Linked DNA regions of Caenorhabditis elegans. The protein of the gene in region 1 purifies or fractionates together with the protein of each later gene. This does not show direct contact. Each region holds a gene or a part of one and is shown on either strand. Other genes may lie near its edges. The genes, in order: rha-1 and ddx-17.

The links.
Region 2: the proteins of rha-1 (region 1) and ddx-17 fractionate together in Caenorhabditis elegans (co-fractionation; one large-scale study listed by BioGRID). This does not show direct contact.

Annotation. Positions count from the first base shown.
Region 1 is NC_003280.10:8,881,944-8,885,869, reverse strand, and holds the start of rha-1 (ATP-dependent RNA helicase A), read left to right. Parts: upstream 1-2,210; coding exon 2,211-2,381; intron 2,382-2,424; coding exon 2,425-2,855; intron 2,856-2,912; coding exon 2,913-2,959; intron 2,960-3,010; coding exon 3,011-3,147; intron 3,148-3,199; coding exon 3,200-3,460; intron 3,461-3,508; coding exon 3,509-3,926. Other genes in the region: ddx-19 (RNA helicase), read right to left, coding at 1-402, 482-592, 639-690, 897-962; T07D4.5 (P53 and DNA damage-regulated protein 1), read left to right, coding at 1,541-1,732, 1,778-1,912, 1,958-2,059.
Region 2 is NC_003283.11:14,010,012-14,013,937, reverse strand, and holds the start of ddx-17 (RNA helicase), read left to right. Parts: upstream 1-1,996; 5' UTR 1,997-2,121; coding exon 2,122-2,138; intron 2,139-2,188; coding exon 2,189-3,086; intron 3,087-3,132; coding exon 3,133-3,478; intron 3,479-3,523; coding exon 3,524-3,583; intron 3,584-3,736; exon of another isoform or gene 3,737-3,926. Other genes in the region: aip-1 (AN1-type domain-containing protein), read right to left, coding at 498-599, 651-708, 756-976, 1,034-1,108, 1,156-1,250, 1,302-1,359.

The DNA.
Region 1 (3,926 bases):
TATTCGGAGATTTCACTCCAAATCCTCCACCAACAGACGGAGCAACGCTCGATGATTGTGTTTTTGCACCGAATGCTCCACCTTGAGAGATTGATGCTCCAAAACGTCCTCCAGTGGATGTCTTTGGTGTAGAATCTTCAAGATTCGTAGAAGTTTGCGGAATCGATCCACTCAGCGTTCTCGGGGCTAAAACTCCAAAACGTCCTCCTTCATGGTTATTCTTAATTATTGCTGGTGGACAAGGTGCCATGCTGCGGTTAGTGCCAAAGCCTCCACCACGTTTACATGCAGGTTTTTCTTTGTGAATTCCAACAGAAATTATATTACCTCCTCCAATGAGTTCTTCTGCTGAACCAAGTGGTGCACCACGGCCATCCACCCCTGCTTGGCCTCCGAATGAACCTAAAATTGCGATAGGGAAGTTAATAGGAACAAAAGGATAAATGGACACAGTACAAGCATAACAGATATAAACACTTACCACCAACACGGGTTCCCGAAGTTGATCCGAATGAAGTTTGAGGTGGTGGAGCATTACTGGCTTTTGGTCCGCCGAACATGCCTCCTCGGCTAATTCCCCATCCATTTGATCCTGTAAAAATAACTGTTAGGAAAGAAGTTTCTCCGATGAATCTTACCTTTATTCTCTTCATTTTGATCCATTTCCGAGCCTGATTGCACCTTTTCGGTCTGAAAGAAATTAATATATTCCGTTCCGCTGAAAAAATGCACTCGGTTTCCACGCACACATACAGGGAAGAAGCATGAAAATTGTGCGAGGTAGAAGCAAAAAGCAATTGTACAGTGCAAGAGAAAAGAGCCGAAACTCTCGGAACACGGACGGACAAACAGACAAACAATCACGAACACACATAGACATTAACAAATCCGACCACCTTTTCTGGCACTTCAAGCCCTTCCGATCGACACTGCTCGTCGAATGCAATACCCCAATCAGCCATTTTCGATCTGTTATGAGAACTACGATAATTCATTGTTAGTATTCAGGACAAATTAAAGATCGGAACACGAAATTGAAAAGAAAACATGTTGAGGCGAAATTTGGGTCGACACATGAACCCGAGAAGGGAGAGATTGCAGAAAGAAGATAGTTCTTTGGTTCATCGACAGGGTAGGAAATAGTTATTCTAGAAGTGTTTTCTCTATTTTGCCATTGATAATGCATGTAAACACATTGTTTGGTCAGGGAAGTACAAAATCTATCTTCTTTTTAGGGCATTTTTCCACAAAATATATGAAATTTAACTTTAAAATGTATTTTAAACATTTGAAGTTATAAAAATGACGCACACATGAAAGATAAATAGAATAAACAAACAAAAAATTAGGATCGACGCCAATAAAAACATCTGAAATTGAGATGAGCAATTTCGAAAATGGGTACGGTTGACAGTACACCGTACACAGTAATGCACACAATGCACCAGATCATACGACAAACATATCTTAATATTTAAATTTAGGATTTTTAACTTGCAAGTATCATGATATTCTTGCTAATTGTTATTTTTTAAAGAAAATGATCACTCACCTGTCTACTGGAATGGCTTTGAACAACGCAAAAACACCGCATGACCATCAAAAAGAGTTACGCGACAAAACTTCAGAGATAATTTACCTTTCAACGAAATTAAATCACGCCAAAGAAACATGTGTGAATCTGGATAATGAACGTCAGAAGTTTCGAGAAGTTAGCCGAAAAATCAAAGAGGTTTGTCTGTAAAACAATAATGCAAACTGAATAACTTATTTTCAGAAGGATATTGATCCAGTTTGGATATACAATGGAACGTGCTTCCTTCAAACAAGCCAAGCAAATAGTTTGAATATTTTGGAGAAAGATACGAAAACTGTCGAAGAAGTTCGTGGACAGATTCAAGAAGTTATCAAGGTAAAATAAAAATATTAATTCGATAATTGAATTGTTTTTTTACAGAAAGACATGGACACATTTCTCAAACTACACAAGAAGCGAAATCTAGAAGAACGTGGTTTCGGTTTAAAGCCATTGCTCAAAGACGGAAAATTAACTGATTAAATTATGAAATATCTGAATACGGGTCAATGAATTGATATTAAAATACTTAAATTTGTATTGTTATCCTGTTCTTGTATATCCGAGTTTAATTTCTCGTCTCTTTATTTGAACTATTCGCGACTTTTTAAATCTTGTTAAATATTATTTTTAGATGTCCAGAGACGTCAAAGAATTTCTATATGCTTGGTTAGGAAAGAATAAGTATGGAAATCCGACGTACGATACAAAAAGTGAAACCAGGAGTGGTAGGCAGAGATTCAAATGCGAACTTCGGATCACAGGATTTGGCTACACTGCTTTCGGAAATTCCACAAACAAAAAGGTTCGTGCTACTTGGGAAATCAGTTTTTATCAAAAGTTTTCAGGATGCTGCTACCAATGCTGCTCAAGATTTCTGCCAATACCTAGTCAGAGAAGGAAAAATGCAACAGAGTGATATTCCGACTCTAACGTCTTCGAGTCTTGAAGCTTCTTCCACGTGGCAAGATTCTGAAACTGCTACAATGTTTTGTGGTGGAGAAGATGGCAACTCGTTCCAAGAGTCACAGCAACCAATTCCACAAAAAAGATTTCCTTGGAGTAACAATGCATATCAACGTAACGAGGGCACACATGAACAATATATTACACAGAAAGCAGAAGAAATTGCTGCATCGGAAACTGTTGATCTAAAATCAGAAATTCATGGAGGATGGACGATGGAGAATTCAAAGAAAGCGCTGAATGAGTTTCTTCAAAAAATGAGACTTCCACAGGTTAACTATGGAACCAAAATTCGAGAATCAAACACCGTTAAGTAAGTTTTTCATATTAGAAGAATTACTTCATTTTTTTCATACCAAAATATTTACAGAACAATGGAGACGACTGCCCAAATCTTTGTTCCTCAAATCAACAAAAGTGCGTTCTTTTATCGTCTTTTATCCAAATAAAAAATGAAAATGTTTACAGATCTCGTTGGAAAAGGTACTGGATCTAACAAGAAAGTTTCTGAAGCGGCGTGTGCAATGAATATCGTTCGTCAGATGTTCCATCTCAATATTATGCAATCGTACAGTGGACCAATCAAGAAGAGTAAAGTCAGCACGGTTAGTTTTTCTGAGTTTAAGTTGTTTTGAAGTTTATTATATTAATTTTCAGCTTCCTGAAATTGCGATTTCCATTCCAGAAGATCTCTCAACTCGAGTGACAGAATATGTTCGGTCGTGCGGTCTTGAGTTGCCAGAAATCAACGAAACGAGTGCAACTCCGGAAGCTCCTACCTCACTGCTCACGGATGTTAAACTAGCGCAGTTCCCTGTTTCAGAAATTTGTTCCGCTTCGAATATCTCCTGGGCACCTCCTCTTCAGAATTGGAATCCATGGAGAGCTTCGAATATCGATGAGGAACCATTAGCTTTTGTAAGTTTTTTGATTCAAGCGAATAATTTAAAATTAAATTAAATTCAGATGTCAATGGAGCAAATTAGTCAGAGAATAATGGAAAAAGAGGATTTCAAGCGAGGTGAAGCACTTGACAAAATAACAGCTCAACGTGGAGAACTCCCTGTCGCCCAGTATCGTGAAAACATTGTACAAACCGTCGCAGAAAATCGTGTTACACTGATCAAAGGAGAAACTGGATGTGGAAAGAGTACTCAAGTTGCTCAATTTCTACTGGAAAGTTTTTTGGAAAATTCTAATGGAGCATCTTTCAATGCAGTCGTCTCTCAACCTCGTCGTATTTCTGCAATTTCACTGGCCGAACGTGTCGCCAACGAGCGAGGAGAAGAAGTTGGAGAAACATGCGGATATAATGTTCGATTCGATAGTGCAACTCCTCGGCCATATGGATCTATCATGTTTTGTACTGTTGGAGTCTTGCTGC
Region 2 (3,926 bases), on another chromosome or scaffold:
GTAGATCTACGAAGATCAAACCGATATGGGACACTCTGACACCACGTGGGATATACTGTAGAAACTGCAAAAATTAATTGGCGACAGTACTATTTAAAGGAACACACGCCTTTGCGCGAAATATTTTTTGTTCGCGTCGAGACCTACACAGTGAGTCTCACCTTTGAGCCAAAAGATGCATTTCTCAAAATTAGGTAAAAAATGTTTGAAAAGTCCAAATTTCGTTTCAGTCAAAAGTTTGCAAAACTCTTATTTTACTTTGTGAACCCCAGAACACCCATTAACAACAGTTCAAAGCAGGTGAACAATTTCATATATCAAGAAAAAAGAAAAAGTATTCAACATTGTACAAAGAATCAATATTTTAGTAGGACTGAAGTTGGCGAAGTGAAATGAATAAAAGTTTTGACACGGATATGAACTAGAACAAGGTTGAAGAGAAATGCAAATTGTACAGAAAATATGAGAAGGGAAATAAATATACACTAAATTGGATGCTATGAGACGGTGCAGTTGGAATTGGAATTTCTTGTTTGATGCGGCGGTGCAACTCGATTGTATTCTTCTTGTTGTAGAGAACGAGCCAGAGCTTCATCTCCCTGGAAACATTTGTGATTTAGTTAGTTGTTTTTTTGAAAATAGATACAAACCTCTGTTCTTGCTTGTGCGGAACATGGATTCATTCGGGAACGCGCGATTGATGTGATTCTGGAAAAATACCTTGAAATTCGATTTATTCAAAACAATAAACTTACGAATCCGTCCAGCTCTTTTTCTGATTTATCTTCATTTCGCCAACTTTTCGCTCACAACTGTGATCCCGCTCGTGTCTGTGAGAAAGGCAGTAGTTGTTTCGACATTTTGAGCAATTCATGGCTACCAGCTCTTTCTTCTTGCATTTTGGGACGGTACACGCGTTTGAATATACTTTTGCACGTTTCGGAGTCTGACAATTGTTCTGAATGTGCTCATTGACCTGAAAAAGAAACAATTTTTATCAATATTTTTGCAGGAATAATTTCAAAATAATTACTTGTTGATCAACATTGACATCTTTCGGCGTTGGAACTGGCTTCTCACATATAGGACAAATAGGAACTTGAACGGACTGAAATTTAATAATTTTAATCTAAAAAAAGATTTTCAAACACTTACAATTCTTGAGCCAGTCGGACAATTATGAGCCTCAAATGTGAAGTGCTCTGAGCAGTAGAAATGTCCACAACCGGAGCATTTGATTGGAAGAAAATCTGAAATAATTATTTTTTTATTTAATTAATTTTTTTTAAATGTTGACTTACCAAGTCTGTTGCAAACTGTGCTCTCACAGTGCTTTCCGAGATTTGGGAACTCCGCCATAGCTGAATAAAGCAAACGATATTGATAGGAAACGAGAGAATATAGACTTTTAAACACAAGAAATGATGACAATTGGAAAAATTCTAGAATTTACCAGAAATGCCAGACATCGGGTTACGAAATTATTGATTTTTATATATTATTGAAAGCTTTTGGACTTTTTAGAACGAGAAAAAATTGAATAATTCAATTTCAAGATTTTTGAAATCAATATCAGCTGATTCGCTAGAAAACGTGACGCTTTCAGTATTTCGTGACGTCACTGCGTACAGCTGGATTAAAGGCGCATGACATTAAACGTGCGGTGGGTCTCACAGCGAAACCGCTTTGCACCTCCTTCTCCCGCTTTTTTTGATTTTCGTCTCTCGCATTTGTCCCAAAACCTTTCATCTTTTTCTGTTTTTTCTTTCTAAATTCGATTTTTCGAACGATTTAAAAGTTGTTTTTCCCATTATTTTTCCCCCTTCTTGCACGGTGTGACGCAAAATACTCACTTGGTTATTTTGGCCCCACTTGTGTTTTATAGGGTAAAACAACCGAATTTCGTCGAAAATTTGGGTCTCTTCAATCCGTCCGTTCTCGTTTGCTACTCGTTTTCTCAGCGCTGCGAATCAATTTAAAACTTGTAATTCGTCAGCGCGTGCTTCTGTATCAAAGGAAGACGAGCCAAACGAGAGGTCTACTAATCGAAGTCGATATTTATTTTCGCAGCAGCCGTTGCACGACCAGAAGTTCGCATTTCAAACTCATATAAAAAAGACAATGGGAGACAGAGGATAGTAAGTTGACTTATCGATTATTGACGTGCATAATTGTTTTTCTTTTTCAGCGGAGGTTCTAGAAGCTATGGAGGAAGCAGCGGTGGTGGATCCCGCGGAGGATATGGAGGTGGAGGCCGTGGTGGCGGCGGCGGAGGATACAGCGGTGGTCGTGGTGGTGGATATGGAGGAGGTGGCGGTGGAGGCTACGGAGGAGGTGGTTATGGCGGCGGTGGCCGTGGAGGAGGTCGTGGAGGATCCAATGGTTCAGCTGGAGGACGCCTTCGCGATGTCGACTGGTCTGCCGAGAACCTTACTCCGATTGAGAAGGATTTCTATCACGAGAATGCAGCCGTATCCCGCCGTGAGCAGTATGAGATTGATCAATGGGTATCAGCAAATCAAGTTACTCTCGAAGGCCGTGGTGTCCCACGCCCGGTTTTCGAATTCAACGAGGCACCATTGCCAGGACAGATTCACGAGCTTTTGTACGGAAAGTTCCAGAAACCAACAGTTATTCAGTCAATCTCCTGGCCGATTGCCATGAGCGGACGTGATATTATCTCTATCGCCAAAACTGGTTCCGGAAAAACACTTGCCTTCATGCTCCCAGCTCTCGTCCACATCACAAAACAGGCTCACCGTCAACGCGGAGAAGGACCAGCCGTTCTTGTTTTGCTTCCAACTCGTGAATTGGCTCAACAAGTTCAAGAAGTATCAATCGATTTCTGCCACTCGTTAGGACTCAAGATGACCTGTCTCTTCGGAGGAGCATCCAAAGGACCACAAGCTCGTGATCTCGAGCGTGGAGTTGATATCGTTGTTGCCACTCCGGGACGTCTTCTCGATTTCCTTGATAACGGAACTACCAACATGAAGAAGTGCTCTTACTTGGTTCTTGATGAAGCCGATCGTATGCTTGATATGGGTTTCGAACCACAAATCAAGAAAATCATCGGACAGATTCGCGTAAGTTGAATCTGTTGTAATTGTGTTTTAATATATATTTTTTCAGCCAGACAGACAAACACTCATGTTCTCCGCCACATGGCCAAAGGAAGTTCGTGCGTTGGCTTCAGATTTCCAGAAAGACGCTGCTTTCCTCAACGTCGGATCCCTTGAGCTCGCTGCCAATCACAACATCACACAAGTCGTCGATATTCTCGAAGAACATGCAAAGCAAGCCAAACTCATGGAGCTCCTCAATCATATCATGAATCAAAAGGAATGCAAAACCATTATTTTTGTTGAGACAAAGCGGAAAGCCGATGAATTGACTCGTGCTATGCGTCGCGATGGATGGCCAACTCTCTGTATTCACGGTGACAAAAACCAAGGAGAAAGAGACTGGGTTCTTCAAGGTTAGTTAAAGTTACCAATTATTTTGTTATAAATACATTTTTCAGAATTCAAAGCAGGAAAAACACCAATCATGTTGGCCACCGATGTTGCCGCGCGTGGATTGGGTTAGTTTGTCGCGCCAACCTAGAAAGGGTCAAATTTTAGATGTCACATATTAGAAAAGTCGGTTTCAGGAGTTTCTGGCTTCCAGTTTTCTTGACAATCGTTACAATAGCATGGTATTCAGCCATATTTGTGATTTATTTGACCCTTTACAGTTACACCAACTTGATTTGGCCGAGAGGATTGATCGAAATGCAATGCAGTTGATTTTGGCAGCGTCTTGTGACGTTATCATATCATACGTTGCAGATGTGTAGTGGCAGAGAGTACCTTCTGGTGCTCTGTGAATGAAATCTACACATCGAGTCGAAGAAAGCGGTTCAGTTTCGCAAGCCGCCAGTATTG